Tamandua tetradactyla: one gene and its partners. The protein of the gene in region 1 interacts with the protein of each later gene in a pairwise test. Links are inferred from orthologs where the notes say so. Each region holds a gene or a part of one and is shown in the gene's direction. Other genes may lie near its edges. The genes, in order: RBSN, EHD3 and EHD1.

Evidence for each region.
Region 2: the proteins of RBSN (region 1) and EHD3 interact in binary tests that used the Homo sapiens proteins (3 or more experiments, as listed by UniProt). The link is inferred for Tamandua tetradactyla from reciprocal best matches to the Homo sapiens genes RBSN and EHD3.
Region 3: the proteins of RBSN (region 1) and EHD1 interact in binary tests that used the Homo sapiens proteins (3 or more experiments, as listed by UniProt). The link is inferred for Tamandua tetradactyla from reciprocal best matches to the Homo sapiens genes RBSN and EHD1.

What each region holds. Positions count from the first base shown.
Region 1 is NC_135335.1:35,137,898-35,145,978, reverse strand, and holds the start of RBSN (rabenosyn-5), read left to right. Parts: upstream 1-5,048; 5' UTR 5,049-5,203; intron 5,204-5,352; exon of another isoform or gene 5,353-5,383; intron 5,384-6,306; 5' UTR 6,307-6,400; intron 6,401-7,008; 5' UTR 7,009-7,166; coding exon 7,167-7,314; intron 7,315-8,081. UniProt on the Homo sapiens protein: Rab4/Rab5 effector protein acting in early endocytic membrane fusion and membrane trafficking of recycling endosomes. Required for endosome fusion either homotypically or with clathrin coated vesicles.
Region 2 is NC_135343.1:76,595,065-76,602,363, forward strand, and holds the start of EHD3 (EH domain-containing protein 3), read left to right. Parts: upstream 1-4,262; 5' UTR 4,263-4,309; coding exon 4,310-4,536; intron 4,537-7,299. UniProt on the Homo sapiens protein: ATP- and membrane-binding protein that controls membrane reorganization/tubulation upon ATP hydrolysis. In vitro causes tubulation of endocytic membranes. Binding to phosphatidic acid induces its membrane tubulation activity.
Region 3 is NC_135335.1:9,689,228-9,696,780, forward strand, and holds the start of EHD1 (EH domain-containing protein 1), read left to right. Parts: upstream 1-4,503; 5' UTR 4,504-4,612; coding exon 4,613-4,631; exon of another isoform or gene 4,632-5,366; coding exon 5,367-5,453; exon of another isoform or gene 5,454-5,536; intron 5,537-5,821; coding exon 5,822-6,248; intron 6,249-7,553. UniProt on the Homo sapiens protein: ATP- and membrane-binding protein that controls membrane reorganization/tubulation upon ATP hydrolysis. In vitro causes vesiculation of endocytic membranes. Acts in early endocytic membrane fusion and membrane trafficking of recycling endosomes.

The sequences.
Region 1 (8,081 bases):
GATCCCTTTATTCAGGCCTCTGCCCCCGAGACGTGGCTGTGCAGGTTGTGTTTGGCACATTTGAGGGGTGAATGGGAATAAAAATCCATTCCATGCCCGTGCTGGGTTTGAAACTGTTATGTACCCCAGAAAAGCTAAGTTCTTTTCATCCAATCTTGTGGGGGCAGATCTATTGTTGGGTGAGACCCTTTGATTAGGTTGTTAGATGTGACCCAGCCCATTCAGGATAGGTCTGAATCCATTTACAGAAGTCCCTTAAGAGGGAGACCTTTTGGAGAAAGCACAGATACTTGGAGACGGAAAACATCCCAGGAGATGCTAAGCTAAGAGATGAAATGCAGAGTTTGCACCGGAGAAGCTAAGAAAGGCTCCTGGAATCAGAAGTTGAAAGCAACGAACCAGGAGCAAGGACCAGCAGATGCCAGCCACATCCCAGCTGACATAGGTGTTCCAGAGGCTGGCCTTTCTTCAGGGTCCAGGTATCATCTTGTTGACGCCTTAAATTCAGACATTTTCATGACCTTAGACCTGTAAATCTGTAACCTAAAAATTCCCCTCGGTAAAATCCAACCCATTTCTGGTATATTGCTTCCCAGCAGCTTTAGAAAACTGAAACAGTACTCTACTTGCTAAGTGCAAGGCTTGAATCTTGTCACAGGGCTGTGGCTGGTGGAAGAAGGGACCCCCTCTTGCATTTGTCAAAGGCCCCTTTAGGCTGGCGATTGTCCTGCTGTGCCAAAGGAGAGGCCAGTTCCAAACCTGTAAATTGGGTGACCTTGCAGCCCACATACCACAAGGCAATCCATATTTCTGATAGTTTAGGTTTGTTAAGTCCCCCACTCCCCTGCCACAGATTTTGGATTCAATGAATCTAGTTACTATTTAATTCTATTCTGAGTTCTCTTCAAAGACTTCCCATATGGCAGGACCATGACTCAAAAATATTTCCATGACACCAGCCTGGATCCTTGCACCTCCTATGGTATTGTCTGACTCAGCTGTCACAACCGCTAAGGCATTTGTGTGACACCTCCCTTCTTTTTTCTTTATGCAACAAAAATTTTTTTTTGTATTTTTATACTCACCAGTTTATTTTGAAAACAACCTTTTCTGATATATATCCAAATGAATCTGAAATTATAGTTATCTCAAAGTACATAGTAGTTAACTATAAATGAAACACTGATAAAAGAACATGACTTCAACTTAATAGAATTCTTTTTCCAGTTTTTTAAATGATTTTTTCCCATATAAGCCAATATATCATATTTGACACTTGGGTTATATGTTCATATAAATCATACACATTTGTCAAAGTGAGCATAAGATTAAACAGGATACAGTGTCCTCTCTGGATATAATTAAATTTTCAGAGGCAAAGTGGTCCAAATGGGAGCAAAAAGTTGAGTGCCTCATGAAATAAACTTGATAAAGAAAAATTAAGACTAACGCTAAAGATTTATACCATAAATCATTCTCTTTCCTATCCTTTTAACATACAAATGTGACTCTGGGTATGTGTGAATCAATATACTTGTAATCAAGATTGTGAACTCCTATGACTAGGGGAGCATGTAATTCAACAAAAAGCCCTGGGATCAAAAAAAAAGAGGTAGTATAGGTGAAGAGAAGACATTTGTCCATCAAGTTATACATGTTGGCTTATTAAAGAGATAGATTATTTAGAAGTCTCAATGGGCTCAGATATTGACTTGGGCCTGAAAGTGATGTTTAATTATTTATTAAGATCATAATTAAACATATTAGAAATCTAGTCATCACTGGATAGTACCTTAAGGTTAAATACTGAAAAGAAATGATCGTTACAAAACACACAAAACGTTATGTTTTATAGTTCTATTTTGTTTGTTCCACTATTTTTGTAATTGGGGCAAGAGAAGAGATCCAATTTGTTTAAGAAAATTTAATGTACCCCATAAGCTGTCTGAATCAGAGATTTTTATTAATTCTTCTGCAAACACAACACTGATTTCCATCTATAATTTTTTTTTACAATTTTTTTTAGGATAAACAATAAGTCAGTTAAAAAAAGTTGTGGACTTGAGCTATAAAACTTTACACTTTTTGCACAGTTGAAAAACCTAGAACATCACTGTGAAGATGTTCATCATGATTGGCCTTCAGTAATGAATGGATGCAGCTTTTACTGTGACTTCTCCAAAAATGCTTTGAGCACCCAACACACTACTGGTACACAGCCTCAAAGTCAGTCATTCCTATAATAGGGATCTTCAAAAATGAGTTGGTTTGGGGGATCATAGCTCCCAAGTAGTTCAATTTTTACTTTGCAGTTTTTAACTTCACTACCTTCTCTATTCAAGTCTCTCAGATTGCTTTCATCCATACACAATATATAATCAAATGTGCAAAGTCTTCTTTGGTAACCTGCCAGGCAACGTGACCCATAGGAATGTCATGCTTCTTCATGCAATTTTGCCCTTGATAATCAGGAGGGTTTCCTATCTCATAATTGGATATTGTGGCACTGTCTATACTCCAATTATCTGAAATCTCTTGATCAGTTACAAATTTTCTGAAAACTGCTTCTGCAGTGGGTGACCGACAAATGTTACCCAGACATACACACAGCACTGACTTGGGCAGCTACCCTGCCCATGTTCTCAGCTGCAAAGAGAGACCCAGAGTGAGAGGGAATGACCTGGCTGGAACTGGATATGAGCATGATGCATGCACACCTGCAACAAACATTTATATTGTCAGTCCTTCCTACGTGCCAGAGACTGTTCTAGCACTTTTCAAATATTAACTTATTTAATTCTCCGATGCAGGAGGTAAGCACTCTTATCTCATTTTACAGATGAGTAAATTGAAACTGAGAGAATTTAATGACCTGTCTGGGATCAAACAAGTGGCAGATTCAACCCAGGGATTCAAACCTAGGGTGACTGTTTCCAGAGTTTTGTGCTTTTAACTACAAGGCTGTCCTACCTCTTAACTCTTTCTTGTGATTCGATTCTTTCCCTCCCTCCTTCCCTATGGGCTTTCCTCTTTCATTCCTCCTTCTTTCCTTTCCTCCTTTTCCTGCTTCCTTCTTGACAGACTTGGGCAGCTGACAGCTGTGTCTCCTAGATACCACCCAGCCTGGCACACCCTTTGCCAATTCTCCAGACAAGTGCCTGCTAGTCCTTTGGTCATTAATTTCGTTGCTTAGTTTTTGTTTTTTAGTTTTGTAGCTATCATTATTTTAATTTTCCTGTGTCAGATTTCTCATCTATGAGATGGAAACAGTATTAGTTTGTACCTCACAGGGTTGTGGGAAAATTAAATGAGTTAAGACATGTAAAGAACATAGGACAGTGCCTAGTACATGCTAATTGTTTAGTAAATATTAGTCATCATTATTATTTTTATAATGGAAACAACAGAGATGTTGGAAGGCTTAACTAACATTGAATATGAAAGTGCTTTTATAGGCCGTAAATCAAACAGGAAAGGCTTTGCTATCATTATTCTTAAAACTATTAATAGAAAAGCAGGGGCCAATCTGTGATGATTTCCAGAATTAATTCACAAGCTGCTGGTCACATTGCTACTGCTGTTTGGAGCAAATGAAACAGTGACTGTGACAGAGTTTTGTAAATAATAACTCATAACTGTTTAATAAAAGTTTCCTCCTGGGTGGGCCATGGGGGCTCAGCAGGCAGACTTCTCGCCTGCCATGTTGAAGACTGGGGTTCTATTCCTGGTGCCTGCCTACGAGAAAAAAAAAAGCTTCCTTCCCTGACCTCAACCACAATCTTCCTTGTAATTGTGGCTCCTCCTGGCATTTGTTTGGCCCCAGGCATTTAAGATGATATTTTCTCTCTTCAAGTCCTGGCTCTCCCACCCCAAGACAGAGGCTGGTGAAGGAGGGGCTTGTTGCTTTTCTTTTGATAGGTTTGCAAGTCCCTTCTTTATGCCAATACTTGAAAGATAGTCATTGCCTACCCCTGCTGATCTTGTAAAGTTAAAAAAACAGAATTAAAAAAAAATCAGGTTGGGGGACAAAAAGAGTTTGTAAGTCTTTGGAAGCATTTGTCTGTGCATATGGGGAAACTGAGATCCAGAGAGGAGACGCCATCTGTTCAAAGTCACAGAGTAAAGGACAGCCAGGACTAGAACCTGACTCCTGGCTCATTGCTCTTTTAGTGGCGATCCCCTTCCAAAAACTCCATACTGTCCAAACTGAGAGCCCATGTCTTCAAACCGTAGGTGACATAGGCCCAGTCTAAGCACAGAACCAGTGCTCCTGTCCACAGATTTGCTGGGGAGGACTCTTTGGAGAAAGGGAAAGCAAGGTAGGTGAAGCCAGCAATACGGAGCCCCTAAAGTCACAGTATTTAAATCTAAAACAACTCTTTGAGGCGAAGACTGATATCCCCTTTGTACTTAAGGTGTTCGGGTCAAAGAGGTCAAGTAACATCCGGAATCTAAGCCCAGACTGCCCACCATGTTCTGCAGCTTCTGCTTCTGGAGCCCAGGCCATTGCTACGCCCAGCGTCCTACAGGAACACCCACGGGACTGGGATGAGGTTGTGTCTCTAATGCCGGGTGGTACCCAGCCCAGTGCAGGGAACGGAGTTGGTACTGACAGATCCGTTCTGTGTTCTGAAAATGCTACAGGTTTCCCCATGATATACACCTCCCGAATTACGCCTTCCCATTCCAAGCCCTCACCCGCATGTGTGTTTCTCTTCCGAATATTTCCACATCCTTTAAGCCTCCTGTAGATTCCTTCTCTTATCTCTCAGGGATTAATTCAGACTGCAGTTCAGGGTGTACTAGGAGGCGTTAAAAAACCCTCGGGTGGCTCACAGGGCATTCTGAACAAGGGACAAAGAACTTGAGGCCTCGATTTCCTCATCTGTACGATAGGCGCTGCGGCCGTATCAAAGTATGCGGAATGTCAAAATGCCGCAAAATTACGGCGTCCCTCACCCTCCTCTTTCCTACGGCGCCTGCGCAAAAGCCGCTGGCCCGCCCCGAGCTATTCGAATCCGTCCCCGCCCACTTCGCGCCCTCGAAGACTCGGCGCTCGACGGGCGACTGTCAGCCTATCTTCCGGTTTCGAGACCGCCGCAGGCGCACCTGAGGAGCGCCGAGCAGCCGATGGCGATGGCTGCCGCGGTCGCGGCGGTGTGAAGGATTGAAGGTCCAGAGTCTGGGCCCGAGGACTGAACAGGTTAGCGCGTCCGCGGGAGTCTAGCCGGGTACCGAGGACCGGGCCGAACCTGCCGTTAGGGGACGCGGTACCCTTCGGGAACCGAGATGGGCGGGCCGTGTGACTGTGGGATGTGTTTGGTTGCGGTGGGTGTGACGTGTGAGGTGCGAGGTGGGGGCGTTCGTGTGGTGCCTTTCGCCAGTACGTGCTTGAGGTTATGCTGGGCGCCAGCAGTTGTGTTTGGTTATGCGGCTGAGATTTAGATGGTTGTCTGCCGACACCTTGTATTTGGTTCTCGCGTTGAGAAGGAGAAGTGCAGGGGGTTGCCAAATGTGGGGGGAGGGACGCCACCGCTCCGGGGGGGTGCTGCTTCGGGGAAGTGAGTTTTGAGCTGGGATGCGAAACGTGAGTGTGTGGTTTGTGATTGGCTTGTGGTGGTTATGGGGTTAGTGCATGGGAGGGAAGGGGGCTGTCAGAGTCAGAATGTTTGATGAACCACCAACTGGGGAGGGGACTAATCAAACCTTGGGTTACTGGTTAAGTGACCAAATGGAAAAGGGGCTGGGAATGCGTGTGTATACTCATTGGACTTCTTAGCTAAAAGAATAAAAAACCAGCCTGGGGTCACTATTTATTTTCTAGGTCACTGCCACCTTACAGCTTTGAGAACCAGGCAGCCCTCCCTAATGGTTCTCTGAACAAGTCCATCCAAAGCCGAGGGCCACATAGTCCCCTTCTTTCTATCATTCTGTGCTGTGGTCTGGGACCCCGTGGCTCCTGAGAAGTTTCTGCTGTTAAGGAACGGTTTGATCTGGATTCTCCCTATGGCTGGGAATCTTTCTTTGGTGACTTAGGAAGTTACTTTGCCATGGCTTGATAAGCCCGAAAATGTAACTTATTACGTTCTGAATTGTTTGAGCACCAAATCCTTTTATTTTTGAAGCTGTGAGAACATTAGGCTTGCTGCTCAACTGCCACTTACTGGCTTATAAAATGTAGTAAGCCTATTGGAGAGAAAGTGCTTTATAAATATAAAATACAAAATGGATTTTTCTTTTTGACCAATAGGTTTCTAATGCTCCTCCTTAGACTGAGGTTGGTTTGTTTTTTGTTTGTTTGTTTAGGGCAGGCATTGTGCCTTTTTCATCTTTGCTTTACTGGCACAGTTGCCTTGCAAGTACTAAGAGCTCAGTAAATGTGGTTGAAGAAATGAGAAAGGTAAGGAGTCAAATAAAAGCTAGTGCTTGATGATGAATACTTCTGAAATTTCCCCAGTGGCCACAGTGGCATACAAATGATAAAGTTGGATCATTTGGGATATTGAATGTATTGCCTTAGTATTGCGTTTGCTTTTTAAAAAAAAAAACAACTTTTTTAGTTGTAAACTTTAACATATTAAGTGTTTGCTTTTTTTTTTGTATGCTATATGGTGGTGGTCACATTTCATTCTTTTTCCATGTGACTATTCCATTCTTGCAGCACCATTTGTTGAATTTTTTTTTGCTGGTGGGGCGTGCACAGGCCGGGAATCGAACCCAGGTCTCTGCATGGCTGGTGAGAATTCTACCACTGAACTACCGTTGCACCCTGTGTTTGCTTTTGAAGTTAAGTTTTCCTTTCTTTGAGAATCTGTTTCCCATGTCATTTAGCTGCCATGGTCCAGTGATACTCTCATATCTTAGTGTCTTGGTCCGATGATTTGAGGCAACAGTTTGTTTTCTCAGACTTGTACTGAATAAACTTTATGTGAATTGTGAAAAGAACAAAGAATTCTTAATTGCTGCTAATTTGCCTGAATTGGCTTTTCCCCTTCTTTCCTTTCTTAGGGCTCTTCCTACTCCAGAGAGGAAACCTCATCCAGGGTTATGATGCCACTTTCTCACTGTCAATGTGACATTGGTTAGCTAATGCTGCAGGAACCCTGGTGCCTCACAGAGGAATCGCATGAGGCCACTGCCTTGCCAGGACTGAGAGGAGCACTGCCATGGCTTCTTTGGAAGACCCAGGGGAAGTGCGGGAAGGCTTCCTCTGCCCTTTGTGCCTGAAGGACCTGCAGTCTTTCTATCAGCTTCAGTCACATTATGAGGAAGAGCACTCAGGGGAAGACCGTGATGTCAAAGGGCAAATTAAAAGTAAGAGGCAAGGATCTTGCTTGTCCCATTCTGTCACCTGGAGCTTTAACTCATGGGATGGTTTTCATCAGCGTCCATGTTGCCACCAGAATATGATAATAATAATAGTAGTTACCGAACATACATCTAGTGTTTACCACATGCCAGGCATTGATCAAAACTCTTCCCTTGTGTTAATTTAAATCTCACAATGGTTATATGATTATGAGCCGGAATTAGGTAATTAGCCTAGAAGTCACACAGTGAGGCAGAACCTGGCTTTGAATTTAGGTTCAAATCGTACCACATTCTGCTCTCTCTTGCTAGATTCTTTGAATTATTTAACCACCAGGCTAGAGGGTTTTAGAGTGGAATTCCTTTCCTTTACTATTAATATGGAGGTAACTTATGCACCATTTACCTGTCATAGATTCAGGTCTTCCCACCAGCCTTTCTTCCTCAACTAGACTTTGTTCTCTATAGTCCGAAGAAAGAAGGTCAGACTTGAAAAGCAAAGAAAAAAACTAAGGAATGGCTTTTGAGCTTCCTGGGGTTCAGGTCCTGGAGAGTTGAAGAAAGAATTTTTAACTGTGCATTGTGTTTGTCATTTTCCTGGACTTCAGATTCTAATCCCTAAATTAGATGCAGCTTTTCTGGAACTCACTTACCTAGTAAGTTAGCTACTCTGCTTCTCAGGAAGCATTTCTGAAGGTGATATGCTTAAACAGGTTTGGATGCTGTTTTCACAATTCGTTGTTGGGGGGGAGAGAAAGGAATGCTTATGTATT
Region 2 (7,299 bases), on another chromosome or scaffold:
TCTTGAGTCATTCCAGAGGGTGTGAAGTGTTACATTATCATGGTTTTGCATTTTCTTACTTACTAATGAGGTTCAATGTCTTTTCTTATGTTTTAGGGGCATTCATGTAGACTCTTCTGTAAAAGGAATTTTTGTCTTTTGCCATATTTTTCTTATTGCAATGTGTCTTTCTTATTGATGTACAGTAATTAATTATATATTTTTGATGCCCTTTTGTCAATTTTATGCATTGCAAATATATTTGCACTCGTTGGTATTTTTAGTTGAACAAAAGAACTTAATTTTGCCATTGCCAAATACATGAATCTTCTTATTTGTTCTTGGTGCTTCTGTGCTTTGTTATGGAATCCTTCTTGACCTCATGCAAATATCTTCTTCTAAAGTTGTAAGCTTTTGCCTTTTGCACATTTACCTCTTAATCCATCTGGAATTCTTTTTGTTTATGGGATAAGGTAGGAAACCACTTTTAACTTTACTTTTTCTTCTTATAGCTAAACAATTGTCCCAGCTCATTTTATCAAAACAATTGATACATTCTTTCACTGGTCAACTTGTGTAATAAAGCAGGTTGCCACACATGCTGACTCTTCCACTGTTTTGTTCTATTTCTCTACCTCTGTGGAAAAACCTCACAACTTTACAGTGGCATCTCCAATCTAATTCCCTTGGCCTCATTGTTCCTACTTCTGCTTCTGCTATTCTTGTCTCTCCTCTTCCTCCCTCTCCTCCTCCTCCTCCTTCTTTTTCTGGAATATTTTACCTATTTTTTTTACCTTTTTTTTTTTCAATATATATCAATTTCCATGGAAAATCCTGTTAAGATTTTATTGCAATTTATATCCATCAATTATTGAATCTATTGATTATGTTGGATCAAATTCACTTCTTCATGAGAGGGGATCTTTCCATGCTTAAACATAGTGTGTCTCTTCTTTGATTTAGAGCATTTTAAATGCCTTTCCATCAAGTTTTATCATTTTTTCACATAAAGGTCTTACAAGTCTCTTGTTAGATTTGTCCCGGGGTTCTTTTTTTTTTTTCTATAAATGGTATCATTTTGAAATTCTTTTTTTCTAGCTGTTCATTGCTACATTATCACTTATTTCCTTCTTAAAGAAGACATATTTCCTACAGGCAAGGCTAAGACCCAGAGTAGATACATCAATGGACATTCAGTGAAGTTTAAGGTATTCAGGACTGCCATTCAGCTGGTACACAACACAGCTCTAGGGGTTAACAAAATATCAAAATACTTCCATAATGGGGGGCTCCCTAGCTCCCCCCCCCCGCCACCCAGGCCATCCTGGCCCCTGCCCCTGGTCAAGCTCAGACCACTCCATGCTTCAGATGCTACTGGCTTAACGCCAGGCATGACCCGGGGTCTTGGGCCCCGCTCCACTGTGAAGGCCTGCGTGTATGTGTACTGCTGGATTGCCATGCCACCGCAGTTGTTAAGTACTTTGAACATCACCTCTTGGACACACATGCTGGTGTTAATGTGAACACTGGGTGGCGTGTTCATTTGGATGACTGTGGTTTCCCGACCACAGGCACAGAGAGCTCAGCCTGGGGCATTCAGCATCGGGGTTCAAAGAAGGAGTCGAGAGACCTGGGCTGTCATTACAGAGATTCCTTTCAGCACCCCCAACAAAATCCCCGCAGCCCTCACTGGCCCCCTCTACTCAGAGCTCCCACAGACACTTCACACGCATCCTCTCTGAGACTGGACACCTCGTTGTGACCTACCAAATTGTTCTCTTTCCAATTTCTTGAACTGATGGAAGAGCATCTCCAGTAGTCTTGGACCCTACAGAAGAAAATCCTGGATCAGCCCTAAGTCTACCTCCCCCTCATTTCTCCTCTTTTAGTGCTTACCAAGACCCGTCATTCTAAGCCTTAAAAAATATATCTCTCGAATCTGACCTCTTCTCCATCACTATTGCCCTGTCTCCCAGGTTTTGTTTTTTTTTTTCATAATTTCCTAACTGGACTCTTGTCCTCTGGCCTTTTCGCTCCCCCAGTCCCTCCTCTGGACTGCCACTAGCATTATTCTAAAATACAAAACTGATTTTATCCTATTCCTCTCCTGCTTTATTAGCCTATGTTTCAGTTTCCTCCCTGGGGGAGGGAGTGTAGTGGGAGACATCGGATTCGCAGGGAAGACTATTTTATCGCTGACAGTGTTTGGAATGGTACTAATAAAAAGCAGATTAACTTTTAGTTGATTTTATCATTGCTTTTAAATTTGTTACAGATGAGGCACCACTTTTGCTTGTACCCAGGTGTGTTAGTTAGATTCGGTTTTCAACTTGGCCAGGTGAGCATACCTAGTCTTGTTGCTGCGGACACAAGCCAATGGTACGTGAGCCTCATCTGTTGCTAATTACATCTGCAGTCGGCTAGGAGGCGTGTCTGCTGCAATGCGTGACGTTTGACTGAATTGGCTGGTGCTCAAATGAGAGATCACAACGTAGTGACGTTTGACTGAATTGGCTGGTGCTCAAATGAGAGATCACAACGTAGCACAGCTAAGCAGCTCGGCATTCCTCATCTCAGCACTCGCAGCTCAGCCCAGGCCTTTGGAGATGCAGAAAGAAGTGGCCCCGGGGAAAGTTGTTGAAACCCAGGGGCCTGGAGAGAAGACCAGCAGAGACCATCCTGTGCCTCCCATGTAAGAAAGAACCTCAGTGGAAAGTCAGCTGCCTTTCCTCTGAAGAACCAACAAAATAAATCCCCTTTTATTAAAAGCCAATCCGTCTCTGGTGTGTTGTATTCTGGCAGCTAGCAAACTAGAACACCAGGCCAGCTTCTCCCACCTTTACCCTCCTTGGTATGGCACTAGAGATAATATTATTTACCTCACAGAGTGGCTGTGAAGGTTAATTGAAGTAATGCTGGCTGAGAACTTAGCCAGGACCTTGCATATGGCAAGCCTTAGGCTAAGGGTAAGGGTTACTAGTAATAAACTGTTCCCTGGGTCCTCAGCTCCTCGATGGTCCCTGTCTCCTAAGCAAAGCCTTTCGCATCTGGCTCCCTTCCACCAGTGCCATCCTTGCCCAAAAACTGTTTTTCCTGCTCGGAACACACCAAGTTCTTCCGTGTTTCTCATCCTTTGCCAACGCCCTTTACTCTCCTGGAATGTCTTCTCTTCTCAATCAATTCATCACTTAAGATCCAGCTCACAGACGTGCTTTCTGTGAAGCTGGAATTATCCAGACAAATTTATTTGAGAGAAAAAAAAATCTTCCCTGGTTCTCCCAAGGCCCTCTGCTCATCTCTCCTCTTTAAAGCCTGCCCTGACCAGAGCTCCTGGGGGGAACGGTCTTTGTAACTCAGTTTGCATCCGCAGTGACCGGAATTGTGTCTGCCCCACAAATGGCTCAACACTGTGGGTGTTCCTTGTTCTGTTTTATTTTAGTGGAAGGATAAGGAACAGCTTTGATTTTACCCTCCGCCTAGAAGTCTGATCAGTGGCAGTTTTTGGTTAATCTAACCTGATGTTGGCCTTTTTTTTCCATGCCCGCCCAAAAAGCATTCCCGATTGCCACAGTCCCTGTTTTTCTACGCGCCTGCACTCGGCGGCGAAAGGAAAGGCTACTTAAAAGCAGGCAGTGTGATGAGGTCAGTCTGTCTCCCCAGCCGGTCCTGGGGGGGCGCTGTTCCCCAATCAACGGAGCAGCACAGCCTCTCCACCCGGCTCAGCAGCCTCGCCCAGGCGGCGGCCGCGGGTCCCGAGCGCGGCTCTTGCCCACAAACATGGCGGCGCCCTGCGCAGCTTCTCCTGGAAAGGACCGTTGGGCTGGCCCTGCCTTGCCAGCACTCGGGGACTTCCTCCGCGAGCCGGCTTCCTGCGCGGCTGGCATTTAAACGAGCGCCCGGGGCTGCGGGCTGCTGGCGGCGGCCGCTGAGTGTCCGCGCGCTGGGCGGGGCCTCTCTCGGCCACTGAGCATCCCTTTTAACCAAGAGGGAGAAACCCGGGCCATAGTCATCGGGTAGCTTAATTGCAGGTTCGACTTTAATTTCCAAGATTGCTGCCCGCCTCTGCACAGCCGGATTATTTTTTCCTCTCCTGGGCTTTGGGAGCTGGAAGAAGTCGGGGCTGGGCTCCGTCCCAGGAGCAAGAGAAGAGCGCGTTCCCGGCGCGGCGCTGCTCCCCCAGGGAGCCCCGAGGCGCGCGCCCGAGCCATGGTGCGGCTGAGCCCGGCGCTCCGGTGAGGCGTGGGTGCGGCTCTGCGGGGGGCACCTTCCCGCGAGGGGCCGAGGCGCGCCGGGACCCGGGCGCTGCGCGCGGGCTGGAGCGGCGGCCGCGATGTTCAGCTGGCTGAACTCCGACGACCGCCAGAAGAAGGAACCGGAGGTCTTCCAGACGGTGAGCGAGGGGCTCAAGAAACTCTACAAGACCAAGCTGCTGCCTCTGGAGGAGCATTACCGCTTCCACGAGTTCCACTCGCCTGCCCTGGAGGATGCCGATTTCGACAACAAGCCCATGGTCCTGCTGGTGGGCCAGTACTCCACGGGAAAGACCACCTTCATCAGGTGAGCTCGGCCTCGTTTCCAGCCATTGCCAGACTGTCCTGGCGAGCCTGTGGCCCTTTGTGTCGAGGGGGAGGCTGCGACAGTGTGGGGATGGGGTCCGATGGCCCACGGAAGTCAAAGGGGGCCCAGTCTCCTGCGGAATCCTTCAGGGAAGGACTTCTGTTTCCATTCATTAATAGTTGAGCGTCTACAACCTGCAAAGCACTGTGCTTGTGCAGACAAAATTCGGGTGAGGAGGATCCATAAGGAAAGGGTCTGTTCAGGTACTCATTTTCTCCTAACACGAGCCTTTTGGGAGCAGGATGTGCAGCCAGCTAGCGTGTCATGTCTGAACAGAGCATCAGATGGAGATTGTTCCTGTGCCGTGGACAGTCTTGGGCTTGGCAGCTTCCAGAGGTTCAGTGATTTCCAAAGAAGTTCAGGCCAGGGGGAGACCCTGGAGGGGATAGCTGTGGTGGCTTTTGAAGATCTTGGATTGTTAGAGCTGTATGGGGCCCTTAGAGATGAATCCACTGGTTCTCCACTCTTGATCAGGCCCTCCCTTGAAAATCCTACGAAAGCTGGGAACCTGTCTTTAGAAAACTGCACCTGCATCCCATATTTGCGTACAGTTTGTGGGGGGTTCCAGGACCATCTCTGGACCTTAAGGTCAGACCCCTGATCTAATTCAGGTCTCTTATTTTATTAAACACCCATTTCTGCCAAAAGCCATTCATGGCCCCCTTGTACAAGGTTTCCTCTGTCCTCTACCTGCCCAGTTTTATGTTCCATGGATAGTGCAGGTCACTTCCAGATAGCTCCTGCCCTTGTGCAACCTTCCCGCGCTCTCTGAACGTGCCTTGGTTATGGCTCTTAGCCCCCCTTCTGGAGCTTCTCCTTCGTGGAACACGGCACTTGCAGAGCCACAGTTGTGCTTTATGATCCGAGGGTCTAGCTTAGGCTCTAACCTTCTAGAGGTTCCCAGCAGGTGACTGCAGGACGGGAGGAAAGATGGGGACAAGTTGAGTCCCTGGAGGCGGGGTCCCAGAGCCGCAGGTGAGTTTGAGGTTCTTTTATCTGAGACGGTCTCTCCTGCTTGCCTGAGTCATCTCTGGGTGTTAACCAAGTCTAAGGAAGTGGTAGAGTCGAGCTGCCACCGATTATTCCTTATCTGAGGGAGACAGGAAGGCCTGGAGAGGCAGAGCCCTCCTCTGTCTTATCATCCAAGCAGGAGACAATTCCCTCCCTGCTCATGTCAGTAACTAAATGTCAGAAACTGCTGCCCCCGGAGCCCCTATAAGGGGCTGTGGCACAGGGGAAGCCCTCCAGATCCAGATCACGTATTTTATCTCTTTTGATTAAATCCAATGAACAGCTGTTTTATTTTTTAATAGAGAAATACAGAAAATAAATATAAAGAAAAAAGCACCATAATTCCATGATGAAGGGGAAACCATTTTAAATATTTGTATTTATCTTTCCAGTATTTTAGCTGTTTTGCAGTACAGCTGAGATCATACCATATATATAATTTTGTATTCTGAGTTTTTCTTTTACTTATAGCATGTCCCCCCTGCTCTGTAATTTAAAAATCTTTGTAAGTGTTATTTTTAACAGCAGCCTAATATTTCACTGAGTGTCTATGTGATCATTCGTTTAACCAATCTACTTCTTTTGGACGTCTTATGTTGTCTCTGAGTTTTTGCTATTGTAGAATCTCTCTCAATGTCTCTGTGCATAATGTTTTTCCAATATATTGGATTGTTTTCTCAGAGATCCCAGAAGTAGAATTACTGGGTTACGCAGAGTTTTAGTTGCTGCTGTTGTTTTCAGTTGAGTCTTATTTCCCAGTTGTTTTCCAAAAGGATAAGTCGGTACAAAACCCCTCCCATGGGGTGGGCGGGGCTCCCCTGGTGTAGCCACAGCTGCCGAATGGCTCTACCTTCTCTCCCATTGCTTCTTGAGTTGAGCTCATTGATTCTCAACTCTCTCTGGCCTGAACCTGTCAGGGGCTCTGCTCTCAGAAACAAAGCCTTCCTCTTTCTCTCCCCCATCCTTGGCCTTTTGCCGCCTGAGTGTCCATCCTCTTATAGTTATATGTGCTTGCCACAGGCTCTATTTCTTGTCTCAGAAAGAACACACAGAAGAGGACATTCTTCTAATAACTAATTAATGTGCTGTGATCTCGGCCTGAAATAACTTCCCTGGCTTAAGGCCCAGCAACTCAGAGTAATAAAATAAACAATAAATTGGCCTGGCGGCTGCTCTCCCCAACACAGACTGCCTGTTGGGAGTACAGTAGCTGTGTGTCCGTCTGGCCTGACTGCCTTGCCTCCTTGCCTCGGCTGCTTCTCTTTCCTTCATCATTTCTCTCTCTGGCATGCAGCCTTGAATCCCTCCTCCCGTGGGCCCTCTGGCCCCCTGCTCACTGCTTGCTGCCCACTCTCTCTGGCTTCTCTGATCTGTGTGTAGCACAGCTGAGAGTTGCCTGTCCCAGGAATGAGGAAGGCATGACCCTTCCCAGGGCTGCAGGGGAGACCTGGCTGCACCGTGGCAGAACTGAGGTGGGGGGCTGGGGCACTAAATGGGGCCCAAGGACAGCCAGGGCCCACCTGCCCCAGCCTCCACGGTGAGGTAGGTCCGAGCACCTGGGATGCTCCGTCCACCAGCTCTCCCCACTTCCTCGGGGGACTGTGTTTATGACTCAGCATTTCCCTGGGATTGCATGGTCTCACACCCCCACCCTGCACCCCCACAGCCTGGGCCTCATGCTGGGTATTTCAG
Region 3 (7,553 bases), about 25 Mb from region 1:
CTCAGGGCAGCCCCCAGCCCTGGGGGAACAGGAGGTACCATGGTGAGGCCCAGGCAGCTGGAGCAGAACATGAGCCAGCTCAATCTGGAGCACATGAGACCCCCCACGGACACCCCCCCACCCCCCGAGAAATGCCTGGATGGGACACGAGACAGGACAGTGACCTGCTCTCACACAGCGGGGCTAAGGTCGTGGTCACTCAGGTGGCAGCATTTGCATGCCTCATTCATCCTCCCCGGCTGCCATCGGGGTTGCACCCACTACTTCACTCCATGCAGAGAGTAAGAGGGACCCCAGAGCCTGTAGAGCAGCCCCTGCTGGTGTCACTGCAGAGGGCAGGACACTTTCATGGGCCAAATAAGAAGCCGCTTCCCATGGCATCCCCACATGCCATTTGTCCACAGCAAAAGTTTGGTGCCGAGGCAGGCCGGAATGGCACTGGGGTCACTGGTGAGTTTAGGGAAAACACTGGCCTGAGCTCAGCTGCAACTCCTGCCTCAGCAGCCCCTGCAAGATGGGGCCAGAGGCCACAGGGGGCTGGAAGCTGTGGCAGGGGGTAGCCTCCCTTGGTGTAAGCAGTTGAATTGAGCATTCAGAGGCCTCTTGGTCTTGGGAATTATGTCCACAGTGTCCTGGTGAATGTGAAGGTGGGACCCCCCCACACACATACACCCCCACCCTGGGCTGCAGGAGCAGCAGCAAGACGTGGAGAGGGCAGAAGGGCTGGTGATGCCAAATTCACACAGCCCATACCTGTGGGAGGAGGTGCTGAAAACTTTCTTCCTCAGAGTTTCCACCAACCCGACCCTGCCGTACTTAAATGGCTAGAGTATGGAAAGGAGCACTGAGTTAGGAGGCAAAAGGCGCAGCTTCTTGGCCAACCCCACGCAGCCACCCTGGGCCTATTTCTCATTGGGGTTTCAAAGCAGCTAAGTTCCCAAGCTGCCCTGACATCCTGTCCACCTGCAAGCCAGGCTGGGTCCCAGCTGCCTGCTGCCTGCTGGGGGCGGCCCCCCGCCCCCACCCGGAACCCCAACAATTTTCCCCAGGGCCCTGGCCCCGAGGGGCTGAGCCTGCTGTTGCATCCCTTCTCCCGGGAAGACCAGGCGAGTAGACCCTCAGAGAAGGGCTGGGTGGGGGCCACAGCCCCGTGCCCTGCTGAAACCCAGAGAGCAGAGTAACAGGCGTCCCAGCTCTTTACCTTGTTTTGGCAAGACTGGTTTGTTGGCCAGATGTAGCCTTCATGACTGGGAGAAAAGCCTTGCTGATAAGCAAACTTCCTCAGAAAGGTCCCAGGGACAAACCCATGGTTTTTTTTTTTATTTTTCCCAGCCCCACTTCTCTGCCATATTTGAGGGAAAATGCTCTGATTTTTTTTTTTTTTTAGTTGTTTTTATGGGCCCTTAGATACTTCTCTAGACCAGGCCATCGTGGGGCTGGGTGGACCTCAGGCAATAAGAGCCCGACTGAGGCCACGCTGCCCCTGTGTCGCGGCTGTCAATCTGGAAGTGGGGTTGGGCATCACTTCTCAGATAAAAGGAAAATATCTGCATGTTTCCTCAATCTTTTGCCCTAGTTCCAGGCAAAGACGGGTGGAGAAACCAAAACCAAAATGCATCATTGGCATCTTACAAATCTTCAAAAACTGCCCTCCTCAAAGAGCCAAAGGGAAAACAAATTAGGATGTTTCGCAATCTGGGACATTAAACCAGAAGGAAGTGGTCCGGGACCTGGGTGCCAGCTCTGTGAAATCGGGGGAACTGATTCCTGGCTATTCAGGTTCCCCCACCCCTACCCCAGGGAGGTAGGGGTGCCTTCCCTCCAGTCCTCAGAGCAATTTGGGGCACATCAAGTGGCCCTGACATCCTAGCCAGGGCCCAGGTTCCATTTATAAATCACACACAGAGCATTTTGTTGTTCTCCATTAATTATGGGGCCGGGTTTTCCCAGCACCCGAGGCTCTGGGGAGCTGTGACAAACCACGGAGCGTCGCCGTGAGCGCTGTTGGGGACCAGCCCATTCAGGCCCCTGAACAACCACCCCATTGAGGCTCCCTGGCCCCCCGGCCCCTCTCTGGACCAGCTCAGAAACTGCATCTCCGGGGCGGGCCCCTCCTAGCGCCATGTACAAGGCGAGCCTTTTGGCTTTCAGAGCTGGCCCAGGAAGTCTGGACTGGGCCCGCCCAAGGCCCCTGCCACCAGCTGGCATGTGGCCCCTGGGTGACAGGCCCTGTCTATGAGCCCCAATATCCTCTTTTGAGAACACACACACACACACACACACACACAAAAAAAAAAACACGAAAAGAAAAAAAAGATCCTTGATGAAAAGAATGTAATGAAATCCCAAATAAAAGTAGCAGGGCAGGGGCCCCCTGAGCCAGGCTGGAATTACTCATCCTTTTCTCTATGATTAGGGAAGGGGAGAAGAAGGCACCAGGGCTAATATTATTTATCGCATAAGCCATTCCATTTCACCCTATGCAATAGGTATTTTTATCCCTATTTTATGGACAGGAAATTCAAGGGCCAAAAGGGAAGGGATGAAATAAGGGAGGGGCTTTGCAAATATCTGAGAGAAGAACAGTCAAGGCAAGGGAACACCAAGTGCAAGGTCCTGAGGCTGGAATATTCTGGATCGGAGGGCCTTGGGGCTGGAGCAGGGGAGGCAGTCCCAGAGGAAATGAGGTCAAAGGGGCAGCTGGAGGGGAGGGGGCAGGGGACTTGGGTTTGGAAGGCTCTCTGCGCTTTGACTGCAAACTGGTCAAACTTCTCAGGAGGGAAGTTTTGTCAATATCTACCAAAATTACAACTGCTTTACTCAGGAATTTATCCTAAAATATGTTTTGCATGTTTGAGAAATTGCACACGTACAGGATGATTAAATGCAGCGTGCTGGGGGTGGGGGTGGGGGTGCTTGTCCTAGGCGGTGGCCACAGTCCAAGGGTGAAATAGAGAGTGAGGGGGATGGAGCTGGGTGGAGTTCCTGCTGAGGGTGGGGGTGCTGCAGGGCCTCCGAGAGGCCGCATCCAGGGAGCTGCGTGGGGCTCTGCGAAATGCAGCTGCAACTGGACAGGCAGTCTGTCTGCGGGATGGATCAGCTTCTAAAGAAGCAGATTCAGAGAGGGGAGAACAGAGAAAGAGGTACAGCTCCGCTTATTCAAAGAGGGCCGTACCCATAAATGCAAAGACCTGAAGAGGCCTGGAGCCAGGGAGGGGCAAGCAAACCTCCCTTTCCTATTCCGTGGGCTGGGAAAGGGGGAGAGGGCGTTAGGGGGTACAGTCACCTGGGAAAGTCCTCGTGTGGTTATCAGGGGCCCAATCCCCTTTCCGTTGCCAGTCCTGCCTTCTACACCATGGAGAGACCTAGGACTCTGTGGGGACACACTTTGTCCCACTTCCCAATGCCATGTCCCTGTCCCTCTGTCCCTCCAGGTCCAGACTGAGTGTCTCTGGATCCTTGCTTCACTCTTGGCTCTTCCATCTCTCTTTCTTTGAGTTCCTTCTCCTTGGCCAAGAAATCTTGGACACCCTCGCTACCCCAGTCACAACACCAGCCTTTCACCTGCAGCCCCTCTGCTGCCCCACCCCCACCCCCCAGCAACTCTTGCTTCTCAGTGCTTACTGTCTCCACTTTCCCACCCCTTGTCTTCCCTCCATTGGCTCTCCCCAAAACCTGTCACTAGCTTTATTTTTTGGTTTTCACAATGCCAGCTCCAATGGACAAGTTCTGTTCTTTCACTGGTCTGCTCTGTCACAGAGTTCTCCTGTCAACCCTCCAGCATTTCCCCCCAGTCTCCCCTGGGCACTCATTCTCTCATCTGCCTTTTAAATGCTGGGGCCCCCAGGGCTCTTCCTCCTTGAATACCCACTTTCCTCAGGAGACTCCATCCTTTCTCAAGGTATTGATCACCCACTGGGAGAACGCTGCAGCAGCCTTCCAACCCAGTGAAGAGAAGGAAAAGCAATTTCATTACATTCTTTTCATCAAGGGTCTTTTTTTCTTTTTGTGTTTTTCCCAGTGAAGGGAAGGAGAAGCAAGTTGGGGTGCATGGCCATACAGACGCTGAGAGACTCAGCTGAAGAAGCAAGAGGAAGGATGAAGGAGGGTCAGGCAGGAAGTACCTGAGGCCTCTTTCCTTCCAGCAGCACCTGGTCCTACAAGTGTAAGGAGTGGGTGACCAAACCTCCCATCACCCCCTCTCCAGCTCCCCACTTGATGTCAGCGCTCCTAATATACTGCTTGTTTCCAGATTCACATTCTCTTCCCAGATGCCAGAGTCTTTGTCCTTGTCTTTGACCTCTTAGTCTCTTGCCCAGCCTGCTTTCTTCCCTGACACAGGCACCCAGCAACAGAGCCTTCTATATCTTCTAGAAGCCAGAGAAATGATTTGGAGGCCTTTGAGTTCCCAGCTGAATTTTAGATTTGTCAGGAGACCCCACTCCCTCCCGCAATCACATGCTTTGGTGTCCTAGGGAGCTTCACGCACATACTGGTTACATAACAATCACAGTCCCCAAAGCACTGACATCACCCACTGAAGATTCTCACCAGCCTGGACAGCCAAAGGGGACTATGTGTGGCCAGGGGTGATGGCAGGGGAACAGACCTAATGGAACAGCCAGGAACTGGTAAGGAAGGGGCCAACACTGCCACAGGCAGGTCAGAGTAAAAGGTGGTAACTGATGTGACCCTGAGAAGAAAGTGGAAGTATTTGGGACTTTTAATTCCCCTAAGTTCCCACAAGATTTCATTGTTGCCCCACATTTCCCCCTCTGCCCCACACAGGGAATTTCCGATTTCACTTCCTCAAAACTCAAGCACCCAGAGAGCCTCGACTTCCTCTTTATTCTCTTTATTCTCCCCCCTGTGGCCTCTTCAGCGAGATATTCTCCCCCCACTAAGTAGCTGTCATATACGTCCCCCATTCCTGTGTCCGTCTCCCAATCCCGAGCCCTCCTGGCAGCTGTGGTCTGCCTTTCCCCATCGTCCTTCTTCCCCAATACGCTTCCCCTTTCACCCCGGGACTCTGATATCCTGCTTTTCCAGCTTCCTCTATCACCCCTTTTCTGTCTCTCCCTCTCCCCCAAAAGATCAAAGATGAGGGGCTGAGAGGAAGCTGGAAGGGCAGTGCAGGAAGGGAGGCGCGTGCCCCAGGGTCCTCAGAGGCTTCACGAGACTCTGAGCGGGTGGAAGGAGGACGGTTCAGGCGGGGAACCGCCGGGGTGCGGGGAGCGTAGGCAGGCAGCTGAGGAGGTATAGCGAGGGGTCGGCGGCGGGATGCAGGGCCTGATGAGTCCCGGAAGGAGGGCAGGCCTTGCCACTTCTTTGTGCCCTTCACCCGCGTCTCGCCTTCCCAACCGCAGCAACTACGCGAGCCACCACACCCGGGCGCGACCCAACAGGTGCGGTTGCCAAGGTAGCCGGCGCAGCGGCCAGGGGAGGGGAGCGGGGTAAGCGCGTCTCGCGAGATTGGGTTCGACCAATGGGAGGCAGGGGAGGGGAGAACGTGGCGCGGGGCTCGTGGGCGGGGACGGGGCGGGCTCCACCTCCTCCCCCTGCCCCCGACCCCACCGGCCGCCCCGCCCCTTAGCGGCGCGCTCCCCGGAGCGCCGGGCCCAGCCTTATAAAGGGGGCTGGGCGAGGCGCGCGCGCTTCACTCCGCAGTGGACGCCTCCGCCGGCTCTGTCGTGCGCCTGCGCAGTGCGGGTCCCTCCCCGCCCCCTCGGCCCCGTTGCCGCCGCCGCCGCCGCCGCCGGTCCGGCCCCGCCTCGGCTCGGCGCCCTCGCCCCTACTCTCAGCCGGCCGGTCTGCTCCGCAGCCGCCAGCCCGGGCTCCGGCAGCATGTTCAGCTGGGTCAGCAAGGATGCCCGGCGCAAGAAGGAGCCGGAGCTCTTCCAGACGGTGGCCGAGGGGCTGCGGCAGCTGTACGCGCAGAAGCTGCTGCCCCTGGAGGAGCACTACCGCTTCCATGAGTTCCACTCGCCCGCGCTGGAGGACGCGGACTTCGACAACAAGCCCATGGTGCTCCTCGTGGGCCAGTACAGCACGGGCAAGACCACCTTCATCCGGCACCTGATCGAGCAGGACTTCCCGGGGATGCGCATCGGGCCCGAGCCCACGACCGACTCCTTCATCGCGGTCATGCACGGCCCCACCGAGGGCGTGGTGCCGGGCAACGCGCTCGTCGTCGACCCGCGGCGCCCCTTCCGCAAGCTCAACGCCTTCGGCAATGCCTTCCTCAACAGGTACCCGGTACCCTTCGCCCCGGGGCCGGGGGAGGGGGGGCCAGTAGGGGCGGCCGGGGCCCCGAGCAGCCCGCAGCCCCCGCCCCCCGCCACGCTTTGTCTCCGAGGCCCCGGCGGGACCCTCAGCGACCGCTTCCCCCTGCCGCTTCCCACAGAAAACCCGCCACGGGGTTCTGGGAGTGGGCGCCGCCGGCTCTCCTGGCTTCTGGGGCCCCCGGAATTTTCTAGGTCATCAGTTTAACTCCCACCCCCAGCCCCACTTCCCTCCGAACCGGGGGGGGGGGGGCGTTAGGAAAAGGAGAGATTCCGGTCCTCTTTTTCTTGGTCTCAGGCCCCTGCCCACCCCACCCTTACCTCTACTCCTACACCCCGGAGCTCACGCACCTAGTTCATTCAAATACTCCCTCTCCCTTTGGCTTCCTTCAGGGGCCTGTTTCTTAGGTGTTTTGGGGAAAAAATACGATGAAACTTGGGGTCTTTCCCTTTGCTGGTGGTGTCCTGTGCTTCTGCTCTGCTCCCCCTGGGGTGGGTGGCTTGTTGTCCAGCCGCCTTAGGGGACCCGCTGAGGCAGCAGACAGATGGGGCATGAACACACACTTCTCCCAGAGGCAGTTCTAGAAGGGGCTGCACTGCCTTCAGGGCGCTTCAGGAAACAGGGCAATGGCATTGGGTGGCCTGGAATGGGATTCAGCTCCACGTACCTCTGTAGCCTGGGAGGTTCTCTAACCTAACCCTGATGATGCTATGAATGAAATGTTCCGGCCTCCTTTCTGACTGGTGAAGCAGCCAGGCTTTTAAAGGGCTCACCCGTCGTCCCCATGGAACATACCAAAGGACTTAACAGATCCTCCCCTCTCCCCCACTCCGCATTCAAGGAGTGACTCCACATGCCTTTTGACTCAGACATCCAGGGAAGAGCCTAGAAAAGAACCCTTGAATCCTGCCTTCCAGGTCCCCGCCCCGTATGCTCACATTCCTTTCCAGACACTGTCCAGCCCGCCCAGAGCCAAGCCCAGGGACCAGACTCCCTCTGTGCACAGAGAAGATAGGCAGGTTCTTTTGCCCGATGTAGGCATTTTTTGTGTCAGGGCCAGGCTTAAGTGAAGCCCCTTGGGCTGAGGCTCCACAAGAGGCCTGCACTCTAAGCCCAGACCTTCCTCGGATGGCTCCTTGTGTTTTAGAATTACTGTGCCTGTTGGGAAGTGGTTGGCTCAGTTAACTGGGGGGAGCGATAGGATCTTGTGGAAAGTTTGGCTGCTATGCTGGAAATTCCAAGCATGAGGTCTCTCCTTTCACTCGGCAAGG